Oryctolagus cuniculus: one gene and its partners. The protein of the gene in region 4 purifies or fractionates together with the protein of the main gene of each other region. This does not show direct contact. Links are inferred from orthologs where the notes say so. Each region holds a gene or a part of one and is shown on either strand. Other genes may lie near its edges. The genes, in order: TUBB4B, PLAA, TIMM50, HDAC6, MYH10, PKM and CCT5.

The links.
Region 1: the proteins of HDAC6 (region 4) and TUBB4B purify together in Homo sapiens (affinity purification with mass spectrometry, with the first as the bait; 4 studies listed by BioGRID). This does not show direct contact. The link is inferred for Oryctolagus cuniculus from reciprocal best matches to the Homo sapiens genes HDAC6 and TUBB4B.
Region 2: the proteins of HDAC6 (region 4) and PLAA purify together in Homo sapiens (affinity purification with mass spectrometry; 4 studies listed by BioGRID and IntAct, with this or other methods). This does not show direct contact. The link is inferred for Oryctolagus cuniculus from reciprocal best matches to the Homo sapiens genes HDAC6 and PLAA.
Region 3: the proteins of HDAC6 (region 4) and TIMM50 purify together in Homo sapiens (affinity purification with mass spectrometry; 3 studies listed by BioGRID and IntAct, counting the BioPlex papers as one, with this or other methods). This does not show direct contact. The link is inferred for Oryctolagus cuniculus from reciprocal best matches to the Homo sapiens genes HDAC6 and TIMM50.
Region 5: the proteins of HDAC6 (region 4) and MYH10 purify together in Homo sapiens (affinity purification with mass spectrometry; 3 studies listed by BioGRID, with this or other methods). This does not show direct contact. The link is inferred for Oryctolagus cuniculus from reciprocal best matches to the Homo sapiens genes HDAC6 and MYH10.
Region 6: the proteins of HDAC6 (region 4) and PKM purify together in Homo sapiens (affinity purification with mass spectrometry, with the first as the bait; 4 studies listed by BioGRID). This does not show direct contact. The link is inferred for Oryctolagus cuniculus from reciprocal best matches to the Homo sapiens genes HDAC6 and PKM.
Region 7: the proteins of HDAC6 (region 4) and CCT5 purify together in Homo sapiens (affinity purification with mass spectrometry, with the first as the bait; 3 studies listed by BioGRID). This does not show direct contact. The link is inferred for Oryctolagus cuniculus from reciprocal best matches to the Homo sapiens genes HDAC6 and CCT5.

The regions. Positions count from the first base shown.
Region 1 is NC_091432.1:237,515,660-237,519,820, forward strand, and holds TUBB4B (tubulin beta-4B chain), read left to right. Parts: upstream 1-1,413; 5' UTR 1,414-1,577; coding exon 1,578-1,634; intron 1,635-1,971; coding exon 1,972-2,080; intron 2,081-2,159; coding exon 2,160-2,270; intron 2,271-2,473; coding exon 2,474-3,534; 3' UTR 3,535-3,648; downstream 3,649-4,161. Other genes in the region: CIMIP2A (ciliary microtubule inner protein 2A), read right to left, coding at 3,649-3,737, 3,825-3,942, 4,042-4,136. UniProt on the Homo sapiens protein: Tubulin is the major constituent of microtubules, a cylinder consisting of laterally associated linear protofilaments composed of alpha- and beta-tubulin heterodimers.
Region 2 is NC_091432.1:190,206,583-190,210,780, reverse strand, and holds the start of PLAA (phospholipase A-2-activating protein), read left to right. Parts: upstream 1-1,398; 5' UTR 1,399-1,840; coding exon 1,841-1,989; intron 1,990-4,198. UniProt on the Homo sapiens protein: Plays a role in protein ubiquitination, sorting and degradation through its association with VCP. Involved in ubiquitin-mediated membrane proteins trafficking to late endosomes in an ESCRT-dependent manner, and hence plays a role in synaptic vesicle recycling.
Region 3 is NC_091449.1:15,487,221-15,489,467, reverse strand, and holds part of TIMM50 (mitochondrial import inner membrane translocase subunit TIM50), read left to right. Parts: intron 1-643; coding exon 644-702; intron 703-791; coding exon 792-911; intron 912-1,189; coding exon 1,190-1,294; intron 1,295-1,386; coding exon 1,387-1,485; intron 1,486-2,158; coding exon 2,159-2,247. UniProt on the Homo sapiens protein: Essential component of the TIM23 complex, a complex that mediates the translocation of transit peptide-containing proteins across the mitochondrial inner membrane. Has some phosphatase activity in vitro; however such activity may not be relevant in vivo.
Region 4 is NC_091453.1:34,001,268-34,004,767, forward strand, and holds part of HDAC6 (histone deacetylase 6), read left to right. Parts: coding exon 1-122; intron 123-320; coding exon 321-489; intron 490-707; coding exon 708-841; intron 842-1,377; coding exon 1,378-1,446; intron 1,447-1,559; coding exon 1,560-1,752; intron 1,753-3,193; coding exon 3,194-3,343; intron 3,344-3,500.
Region 5 is NC_091448.1:52,931,114-52,934,613, reverse strand, and holds part of MYH10 (myosin-10), read left to right. Parts: intron 1-1,403; coding exon 1,404-1,565; intron 1,566-3,500. UniProt on the Homo sapiens protein: Cellular myosin that appears to play a role in cytokinesis, cell shape, and specialized functions such as secretion and capping. Involved with LARP6 in the stabilization of type I collagen mRNAs for CO1A1 and CO1A2.
Region 6 is NC_091443.1:110,896,947-110,901,000, forward strand, and holds the end of PKM (pyruvate kinase PKM), read left to right. Parts: intron 1-50; coding exon of another isoform or gene 51-217; exon of another isoform or gene 218-576; coding exon 577-743; intron 744-2,564; coding exon 2,565-2,746; intron 2,747-3,447; coding exon 3,448-3,554; downstream 3,555-4,054. UniProt on the Homo sapiens protein: Catalyzes the final rate-limiting step of glycolysis by mediating the transfer of a phosphoryl group from phosphoenolpyruvate (PEP) to ADP, generating ATP.
Region 7 is NC_091445.1:39,635,724-39,639,862, forward strand, and holds the start of CCT5 (T-complex protein 1 subunit epsilon), read left to right. Parts: upstream 1-1,339; 5' UTR 1,340-1,471; coding exon 1,472-1,576; exon of another isoform or gene 1,577-1,597; intron 1,598-1,659; exon of another isoform or gene 1,660-1,928; coding exon of another isoform or gene 1,929-1,949; intron 1,950-2,054; exon of another isoform or gene 2,055-2,078; intron 2,079-4,139. Other genes in the region: ATPSCKMT (ATP synthase subunit C lysine N-methyltransferase), read right to left, coding at 1,026-1,041. UniProt on the Homo sapiens protein: Component of the chaperonin-containing T-complex (TRiC), a molecular chaperone complex that assists the folding of actin, tubulin and other proteins upon ATP hydrolysis.

The DNA of each region.
Region 1 (4,161 bases), on a different chromosome or scaffold from region 4:
GCGACTGTCTGGCTGCTGCCCCTGGCTGAGGGTAATGCATCCTCCGCTGGGACATGACCACTGGCAAAGGCGGCCTCCCACGTGGGCACCTGCAGGAGGGCCGGCGCCTGCCTGGCCACCGACTCCAGGCCCGGAGGTGGGGGGTACCTGCAGGGCCTCTCCCCCCGCCCGGTGCAGAGCTGCTGCTGTATTGAGAGGCCGACGTGCGCGTGGCCTGCGTCACCTGCAAGACGGGGGCTGCCACACTGACCTCGCAGCCCCTGCGCGCTGGTCACAGCAGCAGGGAGGGGGTCTCCGGTCACCCCAAGTGTGGCTGGGCTGGGGAGGCGCTGACAAGTTGGACGAGGGCCAGAGACCTGAGCTTCCCCGTGCGTGAGGGCCTGCCTGTGGACTGCATGGGCAGCGGAGCCACCCTGGAGGACGCCCGCACTGCGCACGCGCCCAGGCAGGCAGGCTCCAGACCCCAGGGACCGGGCCGTGTCAGCGTGGGCAGCAGGAGCCGGGCCAGCCTTGCGGGCTGCTCTGGGCACAGTGGAGCTGCCGACTCACGGTCCCCGCAGCACGGAGAACGCCCCCTCGGGGCGCCCCCCGCTAGGAACAAGCAAGTGCTGCCCCCCGACCGACGCCGGGAGAACAGGACCCGGATGGGCCCCGCGCCCACGGCGGTGACCGCGTCCAGCGCAGCCCGGAGCGCGCGGATCACCCTTAGAGACGTTACCAAAACACAACGCGAATGTGCGCCAAGGTGCAGCCGTGTGCGCAACCGTCTTTCAACACAAGTCAAGCCGGAAGCTGGTGCGCAGGGCAGGAGAGCCCACCCCGTGTCCATGCAGCCCTGCGCCCCGGGCGACCGGCGCACGGCCAGTGCGGTCTCCACAACACAGCGCGCGGCGGGGGCGGCGGTCCAGACCCCGCCCCTGGACGCGGCCACTGCGGCACCGGGGGGACGGGGCTCTGCGCGGAGACCCGCGGGGCTCGCCACGGCCGTGCGGGCCCGCGCGCCAGCGTGTGCACCGCGGCGTGCGCCCCGGAGGAGGCGCGCGGGCTGGCCCCGGACCACGGGCTCGCGCGGCCCCGCCGAGGCCTGAGCTGTCGCAGGAGGCCCGGCCGGAAGCCCGCGCCCGCGCCCGCGCTCCCTAACGCCCCGCCCGCGCGCGTCTCCCGCTGCACTGCGGCGGTTACCAGGACGCTGACCCAGGACGGCCAATAGCGCCGGCCTGTCGGCGTGCTCCCGGGCGTCCGCCAATGAGAGGGCAAATCAATCATTTGAAACACCCAATGGACAGAGCACTGCAGCGCGAGGCGGGGCGGATTGTGATAGGGAAGCAGGGGCCCGCGTCTGACCAATAAAGAGCGGACATCGTTGGGAAGGTGGGCCTTAAGCAGCTCTATTGACAGAAGCTCGGCCAGTCAGACGAGGCCGCTCTGCAGCCTCGTTCTGGCGGCCCAATCCGAGGCTGGCGGAGGCGGGTGCAGGGGGTATATAAGCGTCGGCGGAGCGACGGTTGTAGCACTCTGCGCGCCCGCTCCTCCGTGTTCTTGTCGGTCTTGCTGCTTGTGCCGTCGCCGCCGTCGCCATGAGGGAGATCGTGCACCTGCAGGCCGGGCAGTGCGGCAACCAGATCGGCGCAAAGGTGGGCATTCGCGGCGCCGCGGGCCCGGCGCGGCGTTGCCGGGCGGGGCGGGCGGCTGGGAAAAATGGCGGCAGCGGCTGGGCGGGCGGCGTTCCCGCATTGCGGCTCCCGGAAGCGCAGCGCGGACCGCGACCGGGGCCGCCGGGGCCCGAGCCCGGGCGCCGGCTGCCGGCGGGGGCGGGCGGAGCTGCGGGCCCGAGCGCCGGTGGCCGCGGGCGCGCGGGCCCGGGTGGGGGAGGGGAGGGCCCGCCGCGCCCATCCGGGGCGGGGCCGCCCCGGGCGCACCGGCTGCGGTGACTCAGCCGCACGCCCGCCCGGGCGCGCCCGTGCCTTGCAGTTTTGGGAGGTGATCAGCGACGAGCATGGCATCGACCCGACGGGCACCTACCACGGGGACAGCGACCTGCAGCTGGAGCGCATCAACGTGTACTACAACGAGGCCACCGGTGAGCCCCCGGCCGCCCCCGCGCCCCCCGCCCGCGGCGCCGCGGCCGCCCGCGCGCTGACGCCCCGCTGTCCCCGCAGGCGGCAAGTACGTGCCCCGCGCCGTGCTCGTGGACCTGGAGCCCGGCACCATGGACTCCGTGCGCTCGGGGCCCTTCGGGCAGATCTTCAGACCCGACAACTTCGTGTTCGGTGAGCGGTGGGGGCCGCCCAAGGTCACGGCCCGGAGCCGCCTGGTGCCGCCTGAAGCGGCTTTGGGAGGGAGGCCCGGGAGCCGCAGGGGCGGGGCTGCTCCCGCACGGTCCTCCCCCGCCCCGGGTTGGACTTGAGCAGGGCTGGCGGCTGTGCCGGTGACCACGTGCCTGGCCCCAGAGTGACCACTTGTCCTCCTGCAGGCCAGAGTGGGGCCGGGAACAACTGGGCCAAGGGCCACTACACGGAGGGGGCCGAGCTGGTGGACTCGGTGCTGGACGTGGTGAGGAAGGAGGCGGAGAGCTGTGACTGCCTGCAGGGCTTCCAGCTGACCCACTCGCTGGGCGGCGGCACGGGCTCGGGCATGGGCACCCTGCTCATCAGCAAGATCCGCGAGGAGTACCCCGACCGCATCATGAACACCTTCAGCGTGGTGCCCTCGCCCAAGGTGTCGGACACGGTGGTGGAGCCCTACAACGCCACGCTGTCCGTGCACCAGCTGGTGGAGAACACGGACGAGACCTACTGCATCGACAACGAGGCCCTCTACGACATCTGCTTCCGCACGCTCAAGCTCACCACGCCCACCTACGGCGACCTCAACCACCTGGTGTCGGCCACCATGAGCGGGGTCACCACCTGCCTGCGCTTCCCCGGCCAGCTCAACGCCGACCTGCGCAAGCTGGCCGTGAACATGGTGCCCTTCCCCCGCCTGCACTTCTTCATGCCCGGCTTCGCGCCCCTCACCAGCCGCGGCAGCCAGCAGTACCGCGCGCTCACCGTGCCCGAGCTCACCCAGCAGATGTTCGACGCCAAGAACATGATGGCCGCCTGCGACCCGCGCCACGGCCGCTACCTGACGGTGGCCGCCGTGTTCCGCGGCCGCATGTCCATGAAGGAGGTGGACGAGCAGATGCTGAACGTGCAGAACAAGAACAGCAGCTACTTCGTCGAGTGGATCCCCAACAACGTCAAGACGGCCGTGTGCGACATCCCGCCGCGCGGCCTCAAGATGTCGGCCACCTTCATCGGCAACAGCACGGCCATCCAGGAGCTGTTCAAGCGCATCTCGGAGCAGTTCACGGCCATGTTCCGGCGCAAGGCCTTCCTGCACTGGTACACGGGCGAGGGCATGGACGAGATGGAGTTCACCGAGGCCGAGAGCAACATGAACGACCTGGTGTCCGAGTACCAGCAGTACCAGGACGCCACGGCCGAGGAGGAGGGCGAGTTCGAGGAGGAGGCGGAGGAGGAGGTGGCCTAGGGCCGGTCGCCAGCGCGCGCTCGCGGTGTGAACTCTTTATTGGCTCAGCGCCCCTGGCAGGGCCGTCTGCGTGCACCTGCCCCCTTCCTGTCCGCACACCACCATTAAAGCGTTTCATAGTGCCTGGCTCCGCCTCTGCACTTCCTTCTGGTAGGCCCTGCGGGTGCTGTTGCCAAAGGTCATGGCGTAGTTGTCCTGCATGGCTGCGGGGGAGGCGCGGCTGAGCTGGGCCGGCTGCGGGCCCCGCCCTGCCCCTGGGGTGCGGGAGGGCGGGCAGGGCTGGTACTCACAGGGGATGAACCCCATGTAGAAAGGGATCATGCCTTGGCTGTTGTAGATGGTGCTGCTGGACCAGTGGGCGCTGGGCAGCCTTTGGCCCAGGGCACAGCCCGGGTTTCTGAACAGAAACTGGGGGGGGCAGGTGGGTGCTGGCGCCCGTCAGGCAGGCAGAGCCCCCCCCAGCCTCCGCAAGCCGGGCCACAGGGAGCAGCCTTGGGGCGGTTGTACCTGCGTCTTGTCGAACTCGTCCAAGGCCTGTGTCACCCCGTCACGGTAATTCATCCCCATCACCCAGGCGAAGCGCGGGACGAAGCCAGCGTAGCCTGGGGGGGCACGCAGTCAGCCCAG
Region 2 (4,198 bases), on a different chromosome or scaffold from region 4:
CTCCTGCCTTCTGGCTCCTGGCTTTGGATGGACACAGTTCTGGCTGTTGCGGCCATCTGGTGAGTGAACCGTGGATGAAAGACCTCTCTGTCTCTCTCTCTCTGTCTCTGCCTATACCTCTCTCTAGTTCTGCCTTTCAAATAAATAAATAAAATCTTTAAAAAAATAAGATTTATTTATTTGAAAATAAAAAATTGTATTGGTTCCAGAGAGGAACTAGACGGATACACATGATAAACCAGTATTGAAATTTGACAGGTAAAGAACGTGACATTCTAGGTTACAATGATAGTACCCACCCTATCCTTGCGTCATCCTTTAAAAAAGTGATTTATTTATTTGAAAGGCAGAGTTACAGAGAGGTAGAGGCAAAAAGAGAAGTCTTTCCAGGCAGATTCACTACCCAAGTGGCTGCAAGGGCTGGAATTGGGCCTACCCAAAGCTAGGAGCTAGGAGCCTCCTCCTGGTCCCCCTAGGTGGGTGCAGGGGCCCAAAGCCTTGGACTATCTCCTAATGCTTTCCCAGGCCACAGCAGAGAGCTGTATGGGAAGAGGAGCAGCCGGGACATGAACCGGTGCAGATATGGGATGCTGGCACTGCAAGCGGAGGCTTTACCACTACGCCACAGTGCCGGCCCCTAGGTTAAGATTTCTAACAGCTGGAAATACAGATCTGAAATTTGGATATGTCATTCTGAGGGATAGAGCTTTAGAAGAAAAGCAAAGTGGTAAATAGTCTCCTCAGGGAGAGGTATTCAGGGCTGTTGGAGAAAGAAAAGGAGGAGTGGTGATTCCAAACCTGAAGTGGGCGTTTCCAGTAGGGAGAAGTCAGAAAAGCGCAAACTGTAATTAATTTATAAGGGTTGTGAAGTGGAACTAGATGCAAGGGGGGAGCAGCTGGAAGTAGAACAGGTCTTGTAAACCCTTGCAGTCATTGTAGACGGATGACGACAAGCAGCATCACCTGGGGTTTGTCAAAACTGCATGAGCTACGTTCGGCCTCAGCCGGACCTACCGAATCAGAATCTGCACTTCAACAAACTACCGGAAGTAGGCGTACTTTCAAAGAGTACAACTGGACTATCTTACTTATTTGCTAACTTTGATGGTAGGGGGCAAAGAGACTAGTAATTTGAAACCAAGGCAAACTATTAAGCGGCCCCAATTTCCTGGTCTCTAGTTTTAATGGGGGGTGGGGAGGGAGGAAAACCGCTTGTTTAAAATGTCAGTAGACTGCAGAGGCGGTTTGAGGAAAATTGGTATGGACGCCGCAAAAGAAGTCAACAAGCAACTCCACCCCGTTGACCCCACAGCGCGCAGCTCCGCGGACCCAGATTTGAAAAATCCAGATTCTGCGCACTGGCTGCTCACGCCCCACTGGCGCGCGGCATTGTGGGACTCGTAGTCCCCGCCTGCTTGCAGAATTACAACAAACAGTTTGGCGGGGACGAGGAAAGGGTCAGAGTTTGGAAAGGACCCGAGGGCGGGGTCAAAACAGCCGGCCGTCCTTACCCCTTCGTCTTAGGGCTGCCTCGAGCGCGAGAGGGGACAGAACCCTAGCTGCCCGCCGGCCTCGGCAGCCCGGACGCACACGCTCTGCGTCATGGCGGGCTGGGGCGGATGATGAATTCCGGTGTGCAAGTGTGGGTTGCTGTGTCACTCGGCCCGCTCGGCGCGCCCCTTCCCCGCCGCCCTTCCGCACCGGCTCTTGGGCTCTTCCGGTCCCCAGGCGCCCCTCACCTGCAGGCTCGTCTCCCGCCGCCGCTTGGAGCACGCCGAGTCTCCGCTGCGGACTGATCTCGCGCGGTGCCCGGGATCCGGGCGCCGGAAAGACCCTGGCCATGGCTAGCGGCGCTGCCAGGTACCGGCTGAGCTGCTCGCTCCCGGGTCATGAGCTGGACGTGCGGGGCCTGGTGTGCTGCCTCTATCCGCCGGGGGCCTTTGTGTCGGTGTCCCGAGACCGCACCACCCGCCTTTGGGCCCCGGACAGGTGAGCGCTGCGAGTGGGGCTGTCGGCCGTCTGTGTTGCAAGCTTCCCGGCGAGTGGGAAGAGTGTCTCTTCCCTGCTGTAGCCTGCTCTTTCCCTCTCTTGCTGGTCTTTCCTCTGCTTCCCGCTCCTTCCCAACCCTCTGAGCCCTGGCTCTCTGGGCACTCCTCGTTAAGATTCTAGCGAGACTGAAGTGGAAGGAACCCCAGGTGGGGGACCGAGATCGGCTTTCTTGTCCTAACTTGAGCACAATCAAATGAGTGACCTTGGACGCGCCTCTTATTATTTATTTTTTTGGTGGTGGTGGGGGGGGAGGGCTTCGGTTTTCGGACGATGATCTCCCAAGTGTCTTCTAGATTTAGAGGTTTACTAATTCCATGTGCATCTTCCTAAGTGAGTAAGTCCAAAAGCATCTGGCATGTCCTCGTTCTCCCCCAGAAGTTGTACTGTAGTCTTCCTTCCGATAGGTTTTGAACACGTCAGTTCTCAAAAATTGCATTGACTCCATCCCTGTTGTCCAGTTTAGAGTTCCTTAGTCGGGGGTCTGTGAGGGTCTTGGGGGCAGGGGGTGAAAACTTCTCAAAAGTTTTATTGCCATATGGGGACGTGCTGTTTTCTTGAGGACAGAGCTTGTACTAACCTGAAAAAGACTTATCAGAGGGGTTCAGGAGGGGAAGAAGGTCGAGAACCAGGTTAACCTCCAGTCCAGACCAAGTTCAAGGGTTTGGCTCTGATTTTAGCTGGTTTTTAGCAGGAAATTTAAAACCAGAACAGAGATTTTTTTTTTGTTCCGGAAAAAGAAAAATTGAGGTTAGTGGTTTTATTATTTGGCAAGTCTGCCATCACTGGAGGTTTCAGGGTTTGGGTGGCCATCCATCAGTCGATTGCTAACTATAGAGTGCCCCCTGTTTATTTTGGATCTTGGAGAGGAAAATGAAGACAAGTTGGCTGTGTTTGTACAGCTGTCTTGCAGTCTGCTGAGGAACAAGGCTTAAAACCCAAGCAAATAAGTAGTTAAGAACTGGCACCTGTATTATGAAGAAAATAAATGGGGTGAAGGAAGGTGTAAAAGAGGGGGCCTCTCTGAAGAGATGTGTGCTTTTGACATTTGAAGCACTGACCACATAGATTAAGCTGGGAGCCTTGGGGAGGAAGAATGAATAGAGTTGAACTGAAAGAGCTAGGCAGAGGCCCTGGCTTGAAAAAGACAAGTCCCTAAGTGGCAGGAGGGAATGAGCTGTGAACTGAGATCAGGCAAGAGCCACATCATGGAGTCTGCAGGTGGGAGCCTTCAAGAACTTAGCAGTGGAGAGCAGCGTGATGTGATTTACCCATTGAGAAGTGTCTGTCAGCTGCTGGTGGAGAAGGGGCACGGAAGTAGATCTTTTCGGAGGCATTTGCAGTATGCTAGACTAGACTAGGTTTTATAAAGCAAGCCTTGTATTGGATGAGTTGACCTCTACAGGTCTCTTCTAACATTGTCAGGACTATCTAAAGGTTGTCTGTTGTAATTTTATCTATCCTGCCATTAAACTTTTACATGTTTTGTAGAATTGTGTTAGGTTGACAAGAGTTTAAGTTGCTGGAGTGCTTGCATTTTCAAGCAACGTTTAGTTGAAATGATCTTCTATTTGAAAACTAATTCTTGTCTTTTAACTCATGTTCTTTTAAAAAAACTTATTCATAGATTTATTCAACTAACACTGATGAAGAGCTTGCATTTTGCCAGGCACAAGGCTAGAAAATGAGTGATAAGACAGATAAAATTACTTAATTTGTTATTTGTAACTGCATAGGTTAAAGGATCTCATAGTCACGGAGTGTTAATCTCTTAGCCATCATGAATAGAATGACCCAGCCACACCATTTATTGTTATAAAAAGTGTCTTCAAGGCCAAGATACTGGCAATTTTTATTTCATAGTATATTTATAAAATTAGAGTACCATACAATATTTGGAGCTAAGTAGTAAATGAAGTTTGTTTGCTCGTATACATTATTGATATGGTTCTGGTTCAGCATATTAAGTGTAGAGAGTAGAATGATGGGGGAGTTTTGTTCTAGGGAGATGGAAATAGTTCTGTTCTAGAGTGGACTAAGTCTTTCACAAAATCCCATTGAAAACCCAGAAAGTCTCTCTGGACCCTCTGAAGTCCCTTCAGAATAGAGACATTAATTTTTGGGTTGTGCACTGACTTGAGACAGCCAACAT
Region 3 (2,247 bases), on a different chromosome or scaffold from region 4:
TGAACCAGCTGATGGAAGATACCTCTCTCTCTCTCTCTCTCTCTCGCTCTCTCGCTCTCTCTCTCTCTCTCTCTCTCTCTCTCTGCCTCTCAAACGACTCAGCGTGTTTATTTAGAACAGATTGTGCACCCTCAGCCCTGGTGGCCCCGGGGCCAGATGATGCTTTGCTGCCCGTGTAGCTGGGGAGGGTATCTAGCATCCCCCCACCGGATGCCAGCGTCTGACAGCCAGAAGTGTCTCCAGAGGTTGCCTGGTTTCCCAGGGAAAGGGAGAGGCAAAATCGTTGCCAGTTGAGAACCGGTGGTTTCAAATACCCATTGTCCGTATGTATTGTGTGGCGTACTTAGACTCAGCACCGTGGCTCAAAGTGGGCAGACACGGCGCCTGCTCGCCCAGAATAGGCCGGGTGTGCTGGCGTGCTGTCCGCAGATTTGCGTGCGTGTTCCCGGCGGCCCGGCATCGTGTGGTCGGGAGTGTCCAGGCGAAACCTCCACCCTCACCTGACAGTGCGCGCTGCTTCCACCTCTGGGCTCGGGGCTGAGCCAGTTCACACCAGGGAGTCAGGATCAGACCGCTCGTGAACGCACTCTGTCTGGAGGGTGAGCAGCGGCTTATCCCGGAACCCTTGTGCCTGGTGTCCTAGATCCGATTCTGGTACAGCAGTTGCGCCGGACCTACAAATATTTCAAGGACTACAGACAGGTGAGCAGGGGCTCCGGACCCAGCCCCCGTCCCTGCACCTCCGGCCCGGGCCTCCTTGGCTGAGCTCCCGTCCCGCCCCTGTGCCACAGATGATCATCGAGCCCACCAGCCCCTGCCTCCTGCCAGACCCCCTACGGGAGCCGTACTACCAGCCGCCCTACACGCTCGTCCTGGAGCTCACTGGTGTCCTCTTGCACCCTGAGTGGTCGGTGTGTCCTGGGGAAGGCAGCAGGTTGGGGGCTACCCCTGGGCAGTGGGTTATGATGCTGTGGGCCTCCTGTGTTACCTCGGAGAGGAGGTGGCACGTCCCCCTGCCTCGCCGTCCTCACTACCCACTCTGAGGGGGTTCTTTGGCATGCCTCAGCACACAGTAGGGCCGCGAAGGAGTCCGCTCTCGTTCTGGGCCCCCGCCCTGACCCCCAGGAGCTGGGTCCTTGTCCCCTGGGGCCCCTGAGTGTCAGTAGTTCACCGTCCTCTGTCTCCCCAGCTGGCCACAGGCTGGAGGTTTAAGAAGCGCCCGGGCATCGAGACGCTGTTCCAGCAGCTCGCCCCTCTGTATGAGATCGTCATCTTCACGTCAGAGACCGGCATGGTGAGGCTGGGGCCCAGGCTGTGCGGCCAGTGTGGCTGGGGCAGGGTGCCCCGGGCCAGGGCCCAACCTGACCTCTGTCTCCCACCCTGCAGACTGCATTCCCGCTCATCGACAGCGTGGACCCCCACGGCTTCATCTCCTACCGCCTGTTCCGGGATGCCACACGATACATGGATGGGCACCATGTGAAGGTGCTGTGTGCGGGTTGCGGGTGGGCCTCTGGGTGCAGGGGCCCTGTCAGAGACGAGGGACCGGCTCTGAGCCTGACCTCCACCCTGCCTGTGGTTCTGCCCAGGTCCGCCTCCTGGTGGCTGCCCAAGCCTGCTCCAGGCGGGGCAGAGCCTCTAAGCCTTCACCTGTCCATAGACTCTGGGAATGGGGGCGAGGGGGGGAGCGTGAGGTTTGGACGCTGTTTTTCGTTCGTGTCTGGAACTGCGAGTGACCGGTAGCCTGTGATGCTGTTTGGGGTTTGTGTGACCTAGGTCTGCTCCGTGGCCACCAGTGTATCCAGTGTCTGTGGGTCTGGGTGGGGCGTTTCTGTCTGTGTCTCAGTTGGTCTAGGGGTGTGTGTTCTTGGGGACTCAACAGTACGTGGCCATGATTGGAGGGTCTCTCTGGTGGCTTCCGTGTGCTGCTGTAGATTCGTCTGCACATCTTTATCTGGGTGGGGGATGTCACAGTCACCTGAGGCCGGGTTAATCAGGCAGGTGGCCAGCTCCCTCCCCAGGGAACCTGCAGTCCAACTCCCTGTGTGTGGCCCTGGGGATCCCCGTGTGGTCAGGGCTGTGTGTGTATCCCTCCCTCTGCCCGCCCCTTAGGTGGGGAGGGGACACAGATGTTGACCCGACTTGTACCCACTTCCAGGACATTTCCTGTCTGAATCGGGACCCAGCCCGCGTGGTGGTTGTGGACTGCAAGAAGGAAGCCTTCCGCCTACAGCCGTACAACGGTGT
Region 4 (3,500 bases):
CCCGAGACACCCCAGCGTATCTTGCGTATCATGTGCCATCTGGAGGAGTTGGGCCTTGCTGGACGCTGCCTCAACCTACCAGCACGACCTGCCACTGATGCTGAGCTGCTCACTTGCCACAGGTCACATCTTTGGGCCCAGGGTTGGAACTGTGACTGTGGCCATGATTGGGACTCAGGGGTGGGAGCTTAGGGTTACCCTCACCTGTGTGGGAGCTGCTGCTGGACTGAGAAGGGTCCAAGTTCTGGTCTGGGAGCAGGCCCCAGGGAGGAAACAGAGCCACCTCACTGTCCACTGGCTGCCCCTCTTTGTGCCCCCAGTGCTGAGTATGTGGAGCGTATCCGGGCCACGCAGAAGATGAAGACCCGGGAACTACATCGCGAGGGTGCCAACTTTGACTCAATCTACATCTGCCCCAGCACCTTCACCTGTGCACAGCTTGCCACTGGCACCGTCTGCCGCCTGGTGGAGGCTGTGCTGGAAGGAGAGGTGCGGCCTCTGGCCTGCCATGTGGGGCTACCCACGATGGCTCGGAGATAGTTGGACCAGGCCTGAGAAAAGGGGCTGTGGGGAGGGGTCATTGCTCGCTAAGAGGGCCACCTAGAGGGTGGGGGTTCCCTCACAGTTGGGTGAAGTAGTGAAAGGAAGTGTAGTGAAGAAAGGGGAAGGTAAGTAAGAGAGCAACCTTTCTCCCCACACTCCCCCAGGTTTTGAATGGCGTTGCCCTGGTACGCCCCCCAGGACACCATGCTGAGCAGGATGCCGCTTGTGGTTTCTGCTTTTTCAACTCTGTGGCAGTGGCTGCTCGCCATGCCCAGGCCATCAGTGGACGTGCCCTGCGGTAAGACATTCTGATTCTTGGGACCTGGATGTCCCCCAGCCCAAAGTATAATCAACAAGCTCCATGTACAGCTCCCAGGACTTACTTGGAAATAAGCAGGGGTCAACTGCTCAGCACTTATCCAAAAAAGGACAACAAAGGAGGCTGGTCAGTGCCTACCCAGCTCAGACCTCCAGATTGGGGCACCTGGGCGCTTTAAACCAGGTCTCAGGTCCCACCCTAGCATTTATGGTCCTCAAAGGCCATCCCAACAGAACCCAGGTTGAGGCTCCAATGCTTCCTCTTGAAGACATGGGGTCCACTTAGCTTCTCAGCGCCCAGCCCTGAGAGCTTACTTAGGCCCAGAGTGCAGCCCTCAGACCTAGCCCTCATCCTTACACCAATAGGACCCAAAAGCCAGATGCTCGGTGCTTTCTCAAGAGACACAAGATCCCGTTCCTTAGCACCAAATGTCCCTGCAGACCCTAGGGGTCTATACCCAGCATTTACCCATGGGGTGAATGTCCTGGGATACTGAGGAGCTGTCCCCTTCCTAGGGTCCTGATTGTGGATTGGGACATCCATCATGGTAATGGGACTCAGCACATTTTTGAGGATGACCCCAGGTGAGGTACTGGGGCTGGGGGCAGGAGTGTGGTCAGGGAGGTGGGCGAACCATGCCTCATTGGGGGCTAGGGGACCCCTAACCATGGCCCTCTCTCTGCCCTATCCCTGGCAGTGTGCTCTACATATCCCTGCACCGCTATGATCAGGGCACCTTCTTCCCCGTGGGGGATGAGGGTGCCTGCAGCCAGATGGGCCGGGCTGCGGGCACAGGTTTCACTGTCAACGTGGCCTGGAATGGGTCCCGCATAGGGGATGCTGACTACCTGATGGCCTGGCATCGTCTGGTGCTTCCCATTGCATACGAGGTATGGCTCAGGATGTGTGTGACGCACCTGTGCAGATGGTAGCACGTGGCTACCTTCTTGGGAGTATATGTATGTGTCTGACTGATCACGTCACGAGACTGATTATATGAGACAGCCTGTGGGTGGCTACAGGGATGGCTTTCAGGGGATGGGGGTTGACTGTGACAGCCTTACATGCCTGTCTGCACAAGTGGCTTGTGGGTGAGTGCCTTCTCTGTGTAACATTGTATGCGTGGGCTTCTGTGTGAGGACTTTCTGGATGTGTGGCAGTGGCCTGTGTGGATGTGTCTGCCATCATGAATGCCTGTCTGGTGTGAGGGTGACCATGGGTCACACTGTCTCTGGAATTGTGTATGCAAGGAAGGGCAGGGATTTGAGCATGTATGCATACCCCTCTGTGCAGGTGGCTATCTGTCACCACCTTTTTTCTGCATGCTGAGTGCGATATGTCATTGGTTGCTGCTCTCTCTGTGACAGCCTGTATGGAACTCTCTGGATGTTGAAGGCTGTGTGGGACATCTATCTTTGTGTCTGTCTGTTAGTCCAGGCTTTTTGCATGTGCCTCTGATAGGGGAATGTGGCCTGGCTGTGGCTGCCTTCTCTGTGTGAACTGGGATGACTGTGGTGCTTACGTGATTAACCCTGCAAAGCTGGGCGTGGGTGTGCACCTTTAGATCTGTGTGTGTGACTATTCATGGGTGGCCAGAGCCACCTTCTGTGTGTGTGCAACTGTGTGTACAGGTGACTGCCTCCCGTGGACGCAACAGCACATGAGACCATTGTGACCGTGGACCATTTTCACTTCTGAGGAACTTTGCGTGACCAGTGTGAATGAATGATCCTGGCATTCACAGGACTGTCTCTGTGAGAGTATGTGTGGCTGCATGTCATCATCTTGTCCTGTGTGTGGCACTTCCACTGTCCACACAAGTGTGTGTGTGTACCTCTATTTGGCACCGTGTGTATAAAATCCTGTGTCTTGCACCTGTGTGTCCCATGTTTGACCCTGGAGTGCATGTGGATGGAGATATGTGTCTGTCTCTCCATTTCTCATGTCACCATCTCTTGACATCTGAGTCTCCATGTATCATGTCTCTGTATTTCATGACTCTGCCTCATGTCCCTGTCTGTCCATTTTAGTGTTATCATGTCTTTAAGTTCATGTCTGGTGTGTCCACATCTCTAGCAAACTGCATTGTGTCTCTGCTTCTCCTGTCTCTAATTCTCTATCTCCTGTGTTTCCCTGCCTTCCCCTTCCTGGTTGTCAGGTCCCTGTTCTTGCATCTCCCAGCCCCTGTCTCCATTACTTGAGTTGCATCTCCATGTCTTCATCTTTCCTTATCTCCCACATCTTTGGGTCTCCACGTCTCTAAGTCTCATCACTAACTGCCTACCAAAGCCAACCCCTGAATGAGCACACGTCTCTTCTCTCCCTACTCAGTTTAACCCAGAACTGGTACTGGTCTCAGCGGGCTTTGATGCTGCACGAGGAGACCCACTGGGGGGCTGCCAGGTGTCACCTGAGGGTTATGCCCACCTCACCCACCTGTTGATGGGCCTTGCTGGTGGCCGCATTATCCTTATCCTAGAGGTAAATCGCTTTTGGTCCCTGTCCCCATGGTGGGAGGGTACTTTGGAAGAGTTGGCTGCATCACTTGGGGCAGTTTTCCAAAGATCCCCTTTGAGTGTCCCCACATAGGATTGTTGGCACATACTAGGCACTAAAAAGAACACCACCCACATTAACA
Region 5 (3,500 bases), on a different chromosome or scaffold from region 4:
GCTTTCCATTCTGAAGGTCTGGTGACTGGGTTTTTGGTTGCTGGTTTTTTTTTAAGATTTACTTATTTGGCAGGACAGCGACAGATCTTCCATCCACGGGTTCACGCCCCATCTGCCTACAGCAGCAGCCAGGGCTGGAACTCCATCCTGGTCTCCCACGTGGGTGGCAGGGCCCCTAGTACTTGGGTCATCACTTGCTGCCTTCCAGGCGCACTGGCAGGGAGCAGGAGCAGGAGCAGGGCAGCCAGGACCTCAACGGGGTCCCAGTGCGGGCCGCCGCGGCGACCCTGCTCCCGTTCTGCACCCTGAAAGTCCCTAAGTCAGCCCACCTCCAAGAGGAAGCCAGCGGGCTGGCGCTGTGGCCCAGCGGGAAAAGCCATCGCCTGCTCCCTGCCGATGCGCCTGGGAAAGCCGGAGGATGGCCCAAGTGTTTGAGACCCTGAACCGGTGTGGGAGACCCGGAGGAGGCTCCCGGCGTCAGGTCAGCCCAGCTCCAGCTCTTGGGGCCATCTGGGGAGTGAACCAGCAGAGGGAAGACTTTTCTTTGTCTCTCCCTCTCTGCCTTTCAAATAAATAAATCTTTCCTTAAAGGAAAATAAAAAAAAAAAAGGAAATTAAGCTCAGCTCCAAGTTGGAGTGGAGCCATTTAAAGCCCCACACTGTCGGATGGGGGTGGGGGTAGGGCAGATTCACATCAGCTCCGCCTCTGTGGTCCTGTGACATAAAGACCCCCCACCCCAGCGAGCACCTCCGCTCTGTGGCGGTGCAAGAGGGGTCTGCTTCACCCCTTGGAGGCCTGCTGGCTTCCTGACATCACCCCAGAGCACGCCCCTTCCCACAAGGTTGCGGCGTCCGTAGCAGCTCCATTCTGTTTGCCGAGAGCACTGGCTTCTGAGCCTCCAAGGAGGCCACCCCTCGGGTGCGGCAGCCCCCAGGCTACGCCCCAGCAGGGCACCAGGAGACCATGTCCAGTCCAGGCACTGACGGCCAGGCCGTCGCAGTGAGCTCGAGCTGGCCTGTCCCCGACCCCTCCCCTGCGGAGCCAGCACAGCAGGGCTCAAGAGCGACTGCACCTGCGGCCGGCCGGTCTGTGAGGCGATGACCGTGTGCGGCCCGTGAGTGACGTCAGGAGTACCCGATGGCCCTCGGCCAAAGAAAGGTTCTGCAGCCCCGGTGGGCCCCGAGCTTGCCGTCAGGGACTCTGGCTTTCCGTGTCGGGGACGGTGCGCCCTGGCGTCTGAGGGCCCCCTCAGTGAGTCGGCTGCTGGGTTAGTAACCGCTCAGCCTCGGAGCGCAGCTCTGCCGGGCAGCAGCAGGGGGCAGAGCGCTCCGCCGCCAGCCGGCTGCTCTCCTCCGGCCGGGGCCCTCGGTTTAACCAGGCATCGTTCCATGCTCTCCGTCAGGTGCGGGAGCTCGAGGCCGAGCTGGAAGACGAGCGCAAACAGCGGGCGCTCGCTGTTGCTTCCAAGAAGAAAATGGAAATAGACCTGAAGGACCTTGAAGCGCAAATCGAGGCCGCGAACAAAGCCCGGGACGAAGTGGTCAAGCAGCTTCGCAGACTGCAGGTGTGCGGCCGGCGCCAGCCTCGGCGGTGGGTGGGGCGGCGGCCCGCCGAGGTGGCACTCGCGGACCTGCCGTGCCTGCAGCGTGCGTGCGTGCGTGCGTGTGTGTGACAGAGAGAGACTGAGCTGGGGACGGGCTCCGGGTGCCACGTCCTTGCCGGAACGTGCTCTGGTGGCCTGCAGCAGCCCTGCTGTGGTGCTGTCCTCGGCGGCGCTGGGATCCGCAGTGCGCACCCGTCATCGCTGCCCGGGCTGCACACCAGCTCTCACGGCTACAGCCACAAAATGTCAGCTCTGTAGCAGTTCCGGCCTGCGCCCGCACAGCCGCCTCTGGGGGGCAGTCAGCGTCAGTAGTGATCTAGGGGGCAGCTGTCAGGATGTAGCTTAAGAATTTATGCTGGCAAAATGTGAAAATGAGGTTTTTATACAAAGACCTTAGCTGAAATGTTATTTATGATAGCAAAGAGGTGGAAGCTAAGTGGAAAGTGCTGTGGGCTGAGGTGGCGAGGGCCCGAGAACAGCAGCAGGCCGTAAGCCCAGGCAGCACCTGCGCACACGCACAGATGTTCACGCATGTGTGTTTGCACACGCGTGGGTTTTTACAGGGACACGGGCATACCTAGAGAAAATGTTGACGTCCCTCCGGATCCTAGGTCTGAGTGACTTCTCTGCTTCCGTGAGGTCTTCCCCCGGGGCTCTGACTGCGCAGCTTCCGCGCTAGTACTGGACACTGCAGCAGCACTGACTGCCCAGCGCTCTACTGAGTGCAGTCCCCGGTTCACCTGCCTCGCATTCAGGCTTAGGCAGCCGCCACGCCGTCTAATTGTGGACACTTCGTTCCCCCTGCGAGAACCTGTACCCACTCGCTGTCACGCCCGGCCCCGCCTGTCAGCTCCTGTCTGTCTCGGGGTTGGACGTGGCACGTGGGTAGGCCGGCTCCCGTCACGGAGCAGCCTGACACAGCACGAGTAGTTCGTTCCTCTCTACTTCTGAGTAACGTCACACTGCTTGGAGACAGCCACGTGTACTCACTGTTCATCAGGGTGTTCCTTGCTCCCGCTGTCTAGCTGGGACGAGTGGTGCTGCTCTGAGTATCTGTGTGCAGCTGTGTGGACGTGTGCTGTCCACGTGCACGGGGGTGTCACTGGGAGTAGAACTGCTGGGTCTCAGGGTAACAGTAACTTAGTGGGAACTGCCAGACTCCTGCATAGCAGCGCACGTGGGGTCCCGGCAGCCAGGCAGCAGGGTTCACTTCCTCAGATCTCGCGGCACTGCTGTCTGTCCATCACTCACTGTGCCTTTGATGTGCACGTCCCTGATGACTAACCCTGGGCCTCCTAGGTGCCTGTTGGTCAATACTCATTTACGAAAACTGCCTTTGACCCCGACCGGGACTAGAACCCGGGGTGCCGGCGCCGCAGGTGGAGGATTAGCCTAGTGAGCCGCGGCGCCGGCCTCGTTTTATTTCCATCACCCAGTTTGAGCACAGACACGACTTCCTGACTCACAGATGGACTCTGAAGCTTGTGGCCCCCGCTCAGAGCGCCTGCACCCTCGTCAGAACGCACGGGCCATGCTGCAGTGTGTGTGTTTCTGGGCTCTAGCGGCTCCGCGGCTGTGGGTGCCTGTCCCTACACCAGCACCAGTCTTTCTGCGGCTTGGAAATCGGGAAGTGTGACTTAGGTGACTTAGCGCACGCTGTCCCTCTCTTTCCCGTCTCTTTGCTGTTTTCAGTTCCTAGAAATTCACATGAATTTTAGGGTCACTTGTCAGTTCCCTCACACACACACAGCTGACGCGGATTCTGACACTTACTGTGTGGACTCCAGGTCATTTGGGCAGTGTCATCTTAATAAGTCCACTGGCTCAAGACGTTGGGTGTCAGACCTGCCACTGCTTTGTCTTGTTTGTGCCACTGTGACTGCTTCACGTTGCCGT
Region 6 (4,054 bases), on a different chromosome or scaffold from region 4:
CTGTCTCCTCCTCCTCCTCTCTTCCTTGCCCTCTCCCCTAACCCTTACAGATAGCTCGCGAGGCTGAGGCAGCCATGTTCCACCGCAAGCTGTTCGAAGAACTTGCGCGAGCCTCCAGTCACTCCACAGACCTCATGGAGGCCATGGCCATGGGCAGCGTGGAGGCTTCCTATAAGTGTTTAGCGGCAGCTTTGATAGTTCTGACGGAGTCTGGCAGGTAGGGCCCGAGGCCAGGTAACGCTGCAGGGGACCCTGCCTCTTGCGCCAGCTGCTCCAGGATGCGCGGCCTGGGCCCAGAGCCTCTGCTCAGCTGCAGGAAGACAGCCAGGGTGGTCAGGACAGGGCAGGACCGGAGGCTCTGCCTCGGTAGGCAGCGGCGTCTCGGGCAGCCGGTGGAGGAACGCCCCCGGGGAGTCTGGCTCTGCTGCTCCCGGGCTGCAGCCCTCAGGCTCGTGTTGGCCTTGCTGGGCCGTGTCCCCCACCCGCTGTCTGTAGACTCATCCCCTCCCCTCTCTGACAAAGCTCTGACGAAGCTCTGTCCCCTCTCGTCCCCCTGGACGGATGTTGCTCCCCTAGATTGCCCGTGAGGCAGAGGCTGCCATCTACCACTTGCAATTATTTGAGGAGCTCCGCCGCCTGGCGCCCATTACCAGCGACCCCACAGAAGCCGCCGCCGTGGGTGCCGTGGAGGCCTCCTTCAAGTGCTGCAGTGGGGCCATAATCGTGCTGACCAAGTCTGGCAGGTAGGAGGCGCCAGCGAGCGCCTGGCGGTGCCCTGCTGCGGGACACCCCTGCAGGAGGGGCCTGGGAGCGGTCCTGGCGCAGTGCGCAGATGGTGCTGAGCCAAGGTAAGCCCCTCTGCCCACCACCTGCACCCTGGCAGGGAAGGATGCTCCCAGGCCCCCGGGCCAGGACCAGCAGTGAGCGGAGCCGTAAGGGGTAGGGCTGACGACACATACTTGTTCTTTAAAAGCTGCTCCTTGGAAACAGAAGCAGAGTTGCCTTTTCTGGTTCTTAGGACCTCTTTGCAAACTTAGTCTGGAAAATCTGAATGCTGTTCCCATCTCTTCCAGACACACCAGTGGGTTCTGGGCCCAGGAAGGTCACCCCCCCTTTCCCCTCATTTTGTGGGGCTGTGGTGCCGGGGTTGGACTTGGCCTGAGTTACCCTCCCTCCCCTGCGGCCCTGGGAGACAGCGGGTGGGGAGGAGGGGCCGCAGCTGGGCTGCCGTGTGCGACCAGGAGAGGTCTGCGACGCCCACTCTTGGGCTTTCGGGCTGACCTTTGTAGAACGGCCGGCTTAGCTCTGCACTATTCTTAGCGGCAGTCTTCTGAGATTTCACAGCTCTGACCCCAGCAGCTGCCTCCCCTGAAGGCCAAGCCTGTTCCTGGCACCTGTTCTGTCTTCGCAGCTTGCTCCCGGGGCCTGCTCCTTCGCGGGCCCCTCCCCAGCTCCTGCAGGGCCCCTGGCACAGGGCTCAGCAGAGTCCCCACCTCCAGGGACCCCTGACAGGCGGAGCTGCCCCCATGCCCACCTTTCTCTCGTCACGAAGCCCTTACCTGAATCTACACAATCTTAGGAGTTAATCTTTGGTTAAAAAATCTTTTTTACTTATTTGAAAGGCAGAGTTGGAGAAAGGGAGACAGGTCTTCCCCGGTTCACGCCCCAAATGGCTGCAGCGGCCAGGGCTGGGCCAGGCTGAAGCCGTGCCCGTGTGGGGTGCCCATGTCCCTAAGCCACAATGCTGGCCCCCCCGGGAATTTTTTTTTTTTAAGATTTATTTATTTATTTGAAAGAGTTACACAGAGAAAGAGAAGCAGAGAGAGAGAGGTCTTCCATCGGCTGGTTCACTCCCCAATTGGCCACAATGGCCAGAGCTGTGCCAGTTCAAAGCCAGGAGCTTCTGGGTCTCCCACGTGGGTGCAGGGGCCCAAGGACTTGGGGCATCTTCCACTGCTTCCCCAGGCCACAGCAGAGAGCTGGATCGGAAGTAGAGCAGCCGGGACTCAGGCAGCACCCTTATGGGATGCCGGCACTGTATGTGGCGGCTTCACCTGCTATGCCACAGCACTGGCCCTTTGGGAATTCTTAAGATGCCTCCGGATCTTCAAGTTTGTCTGAGATCTGGAGCCCAGTTGCTGGGGCCGCTTGGGTGGACGAGCCCGGCAGTGGAGGGTCCGTGTGTTGCTGGGCCCAGGGTCTGGCAGCTGTGCTGCGGCTCTGCAGTCAGGCTGTGGGCCACACACTGCTCCGCTGTGCTTCTGCCGGCCCCAAGACGAGGCCCTGCACTAGGGCTGCCGGGTGGAGGGAGCAGGACTCCCTCTGCCATAGTGGAAAAGTTCAGGGTGTGGCAAGGCAGCTGCCAGCCCTGGCCACGTGGGGTCAGTGGATGAGATGGGGCGGCTCCCTGCCCTCAGAGGCACCAGAGAACAGGTGTGGAAGTGGCCAGAGCTTCAGGCTGGCGTAGTGAGTTGGATTAGGGGGTGAGCTATTGCCAAAGGCCCGGGGGGGGGGGGGCTCCAGGGACACTGCTTAATGGTCGTCCTGCTTGTCTCCTGTCCCAGGTCTGCTCACCAAGTGGCCCGGTACCGCCCGCGCGCCCCCATCATTGCCGTGACACGGAACCACCAGACCGCCCGCCAGGCCCACCTGTACCGTGGGATCTTCCCGGTGGTGTGTAAGGATCCGGTCCAGGAGGCCTGGGCTGAGGATGTCGACCTCCGGGTGAACTTGGCCATGAATGTCGGTGCGTGCTGGGAGCAAGACTAGAGACCTGAGGGGCAGGATACCTGGCTACTGGCTTCTCTGGGACCCTGGAGCCTGGGGAATATAACGGGGGGAACCCCAAGACCAGAGAGGCCAAGAGACCTAGCTGAGCACCCCTGGTCCCCACTGGGGATGTTCCCCGAATCCCACTGCTTGTCGGTCCTGAGCAGCGCCCGGGAGGGGAGGGGTGCCATAGCTCGCAGCCACAGTAAAACGCCTCGTTCTGTGGCAGTGCTCTGGGGGTTAAGGTTTATGTCATTTATTTGAAGGGCAGAGTGCCTGAGGGGGAGGGAGGGAGGCAAAGATCTTGCATCCACTGGTTCAGTCCTCAAATAGGCGCAACAGCCAGGAGAAGGCCAGAGTCGGGCCCAGAGCTCCATCCGGGTCCCCCCCATGGATGGCAGAGGCAAAGGCATTTGGGCCACCTTAGGATGCCTTCCCTGGCTCGTTGGTAGGAAGCAGGAGCAGCCTGGACAGGGGATGCCGGCGTGGAGTGGCAGCTTACCCTGCTGCACCACGCTGTTGGCCCCGCTGCCCGGGTGTTGGGAGAGGAGAGGAGCAGCTGGCTCTGACCTTAGGCAGTCTTAGGTCATGTCCAAGTCCCTGCCCACTTTGCCCCCGCTGTGAGGCTGGCGCCACCTTGTGGAGGGTGGAAGTCCCTCACCAGCTTCTCTCCTGCAGGCAAGGCCCGCGGTTTCTTCAAGAAGGGAGATGTGGTCATTGTGCTCACCGGATGGCGCCCTGGCTCTGGCTTCACCAACACCATGCGCGTGGTGCCCGTGCCGTGACAGCCCGCAGCCGCTCCTCCAGCCCCGTCCCGTTCCTTCCCCCAACCCATCTGTTAGGCCAGCAACGCTTGTAGTGCTCCCTCGGGCTGTAGTGTGGCACCGGTGGGCTGGGACGCCGGGAAGACGGCTCCCGCCAAACGTGTTTGTTCCGAGCCGGCGCCCCTAGCGGGGCTCACGCAGGCCCGGAGCAGGGCAGGCCCGGAGGGCCCCTCCCTAGCTTACGTGGGGGAAGGCCTGCCCTCCGCGTGTAGAGCTTCCAGCCAGAGCTGGGCCTCAAGGGAGGCCGCGCGTCCAGTTGAGGCAGACGCGGATCTGGCCCCCTGGGCCTCCCACTCCACGCTGTGTGTTGTGCTCATCTGTGTTCCCCACCCCACTCAGCTGTGGCCGCCAACAAACACTCCACCTCCACCTCCACCTAGCCCACGAGCGAGGCCTAGGCCTGCTGTCCGGAGCCTGCCTTGTGTCAATAAACAGCGGCTGAACACCTGCCTCCTCTCTGT
Region 7 (4,139 bases), on a different chromosome or scaffold from region 4:
CATTAAGCATTTCCGGTTTTCCGCAACAACCTAATGAACCAAATGGCTGGCGGAATTCACCATTCTGAGCGCGCAAACACTGAATCCGCCAAGCAAGAAGGAACGGAGGCTCCAGGATCTAAAATGTCCGGGGAGCACCACTCCAGTTGCGGAGGGTGGGCCGACTGTGAGGGTCCGTTCTGGACTCCCCAGCCAGAGTTCAGCCTCACGGTGCGCGCCCGGTCCTCGTTTACTGGGCACAGCCTGGCTGGCGTGGAGAAGGCAGCCAGGGCCGTGGACCCTGAAGTAAAGGCAGCAAAGGGAATCAGGGCAGGGGGGTGTCGGGCGGGGTTGTGAGGCGGCCCTGCACAGGGCTCAAGAATGGGACCCGCTGTGGGAAATCAGGGTTTACTGTTTTTTAAATTTTTTTTTTTATTTCAAAGAGAGACGAGACAGAGATCTTCCACCCCGTTGATTGACACCCCAGATGGTTGCCAAGGGCCAGGGCTGGGTCGGGCTGACGCCAGGAGCTTCTTCCAGGTCTCCCCCGCGGGTGCAGACGCCCATGGACTTGGCCATTAGCAGGGAGCCGGACCCGAAGTGGAGCCCAGACGGGGCCCTAGCCCACTAAGCCACAGCGGCGCCCGCGTACGAGGCTGGCTCGGGGCCGGGCACTGCGCGCTCTGCGCCCTCACAGCAGCCCTGGAGGGCACACGCTGGCATTCTCACGGCCATGTCACACGAGGACACCGGCGCGCGGAGGTCCAGCGACTTCCCCAGCACGGCCCGCGCCGTGGGCCTGCGACACCGCCATGCCACCCCGAGGGCCGAGCTAACGGCAGTCATCCGCCCAAAGGCGCCCAGAAGCGTCCTGGCGGACAGGCCGCAGACCCGAGAACGGGGCCCGGGCTGGCGCAGCGCGCCGAGGGGCAGGACGGCCGCCTGGGGCCGGGGGCGCCCGCGGCCCGCTCCCGCGCTCAGACGACACCGACGGCCCCACAGCGCCAGGCCCGCGCGCCCTCCCGCGCACGCCGCTCCGGCCTCACCTCCTCCTCCTTCCATCGCGAGATTTCCGCACTCTTAAAAAAAAAGGCGGGGGGGATGTGGAAGCTACCATCTTCTCAGAGCCGGGGTGAGAAGAAGTGTAAAACAATGCTTTAAGAAAATAATTTTTCGTTGTAACTCACTACGAAGAAGATATCAATTATAAATCTTTAGGTAATGATTCAATTATTCCTACTCTTGACCTGTGAGTTCTAAAAGTCTTCAGCTCCTCCCCCCCCTACAGCTTCCCGGATAATAGAAGTTTCCAAAGGCCGCCGATTCCAGAAGGTACTGTCTGGCGTCAAATTAGTTTCAGTTGAAAAATAAGTCTCGCGCTGTCCGCATTGCGCATGCGCGAGCTGCTGCGCTCTCTCGCGAGAGGAAGGTGTGTTCTGGGTTCCGGCGTGGTCTCTGCCGGTTGCAGGAAAGTAACTCCTGCTGCTGAACCATGGCGTCCGTGGGGACCCTCGCCTTCGATGAATATGGGCGCCCTTTCCTCATTATCAAGGATCAGGACCGCAAGTCTCGTCTTATGGGACTTGAAGCTCTCAAGGTAAGGGGCCCGAAGACGCTCGTGGCGGGCTAAGGGGAGGCGGCCGCGTCCGGGGCTCTGCGCCTGCGCAGGGTGGGCCGCGGTTTTCGCCATGTGCTCCCCGAAAGGTCGAGAATCGCCTCACCCTGGGCGCATCTCGCTCTCCGAATGTTGGGTCCGGCGGCCCGCGAGCGCCGTTAGGGCCGCCCCGCGCTGAACCCCGCGGCAGCCCCTGAGAAACGGGGTTCGCCCTGCTTTCGCGAGGCCGTGGTCGTTGACAGCGTGTGCCTCTGTGCGTGGCCCAGTCCTGGGTGCGCGCTCGTAAAAACACGAGATCCTTCAAAGGAGAGCGCAGCCGTAGCGGGAGTGGGAGATGGGCGCGTGTGACGAGTGGGTACGGGGGCGGCCAGGCGTAAACAGGGGGTCCCAGCGGGGCCCAGCCGACTTGAGGTCGCAGCGGTTCCCGAAGCTGCCAGCCCGGGACGCCACCCCGACGGAAAAGGGCTTCCCCGCCGAGGCTGGGGTGGGCGGAGGGAAGAGGGAGGAGGGCCAGCTGAACTCATGATTGACAGGGTGCAGAGGCTGGGGGGCGCGGAGGGCGCGGAGGACTTGAGCAGCCCGGGGTCCGCCCTGAGCTCCCTTGGGGGCTCGGGGTTGTGCTTGGATCCGGAAGCAGCACGGTTCCCCCACGGACTCGCAGCCTCACTCCCAGGGCGGGTCGTCTCTGCCGAGCCGGGGACTCGGGGCTGTTTGTTTCCCTTCCAGGGAATAGGGCTCAGGCTGCTGGTATTACAGATTTATTCCATTGTTGAGTTCTAGGGATCCACGGAGAAAGCTCCAGTACACGCACCACACGTAAAGCATAATTAAGCGACAGCTTGTTGTGTGGTACCGCCGTAAACTGAGACGGGTGTTCGCAGGATGCTGCAGGGTCGCATACGACTGGGTAGCTGGACCGTGATTCGGGGCCGCGGTCTAGAGCTGCTTTCTCAGCGCGGCTTCGCTGACGCCTGGGGCCAGATCACTGCCCATTCGGGGCCCTGGCCCGTGTAGATGTTAAGCACTTGGCCTCTGTCCACTGTGCCGAGGTTCCCCCTGCCCAGTTGTACCAACCAGAAGTTGTCCTGGGAAAGAATTCCCGCCACCACCACTTCCCTAGAGTGTTATTTAGGTTTCTCGTTACACTGACCTGTAACTCGGCATGTATTTAAGGCGTAATTGTGTTTTCGCAGTTGGACCTTTTATGTCTTCTGTAACCTGCCAGGTGGATGACCACCGAGCCGCCTTGGGGAGTTGCTGTGTGTGAGGGGCGGCAGCTAGGTCTCGATCCTGGAGCGCTTTGAACTCGAGTGCTGAGACACTAGGGATCGTGGAAGCCTTGGAAGTCGTGAGCAGAGCATTTGAGCGTAGTTAGCCGGCGGATTGGTTGCCTGGTTGTGGGGAATTTTAGGGGAGGTGGGTTCAGTGGTCCTGGGATTCTGTGGTTGCTTTGGGTCTGGTTAGGCTGATGATGGCAAGGAGGGAGAGAAAGGAAGCGCAGACCAGTTACCTGTGGAAACGGGGAAGGGTCTTTCCCAGGCGGAGTGGAGGGGCAGGATGCTCTGCCAGGAAGACTGTTGGCGGTGACTAACACCCCCCACCACCACCACCCAGGACTGCTCTACTCTGGGAATGACTGAACCTGCACACAAGGTGCAGTGAGCGGCACGTTCTCCTCAGAGTGTAGACGTCAGTCCCGAGGCCTGTTCACAGCACTGCCTGGATTGGTGTGGTTGAGTACCAGGCTCTGTGTTGGGGTCATGGACTTGTTCCTGGCTCTCCTGCAGAGAAGTGGGACCAAAATATGTGAAGAATTGAAGGCATCAGGAAGAGAAATGACATAAACCAAGACTTGAACATTCTCATGGGTGAAGGCTATAAGCACTTTTTCCCCCTTGTCATTTAGATCCTGAAACGAAATCTGTGCTTTATTGAGACTTTTTCAGTTAAAAATGGCAGTGTGTTCTATCTTAACGCAGTAGTACCTGGGACTTGGGCTCTGAACCTGAGTAACCCAGATGAAAGCAGCTGAGTTTGCAGTCGCGCTGGCGGGGTCCTGTTGGGTCTGCAGTGTGGGTGTGTAGACTCCGCGGAGCTGCAAGTGGGTGGAAGAGCGTTTCTTCCACTTTCCTGAGCAGCTGGACGAGGTGTCTTCCTGTCTGCCAAATCCCTCACCACCTTTGTTTTCTGCCTCTTACTCTCTCTCTCTAAAATATTTATGTCTTGTACTCAGTGTAGTAGCTAGGGGTGGTGAGGAAAACAAATCACTCTGATACAGCTATTCGCCCTCCTTAAGAGGTTGCCAACTTTGGTCCGTAATTATAACTTGGAATTTCAGCAGAGTGGAGGAAGGGTATTTTTTTGTTTTTAAGATTTATTTTATTTATTTGAAGAATTAGAGGTAGAAACAGAGAGAGAGGGGTCTTCCACCTGCTGGTTCCTTCCCAGATGGCCGGAGCTGAGCTGATTAGGAGCCAGGAGCTTCTCCCATGTGGGTGCAAGGACCCAAGGATTTGGGCCATCCTCCACTGCTTTCCCAGGCATC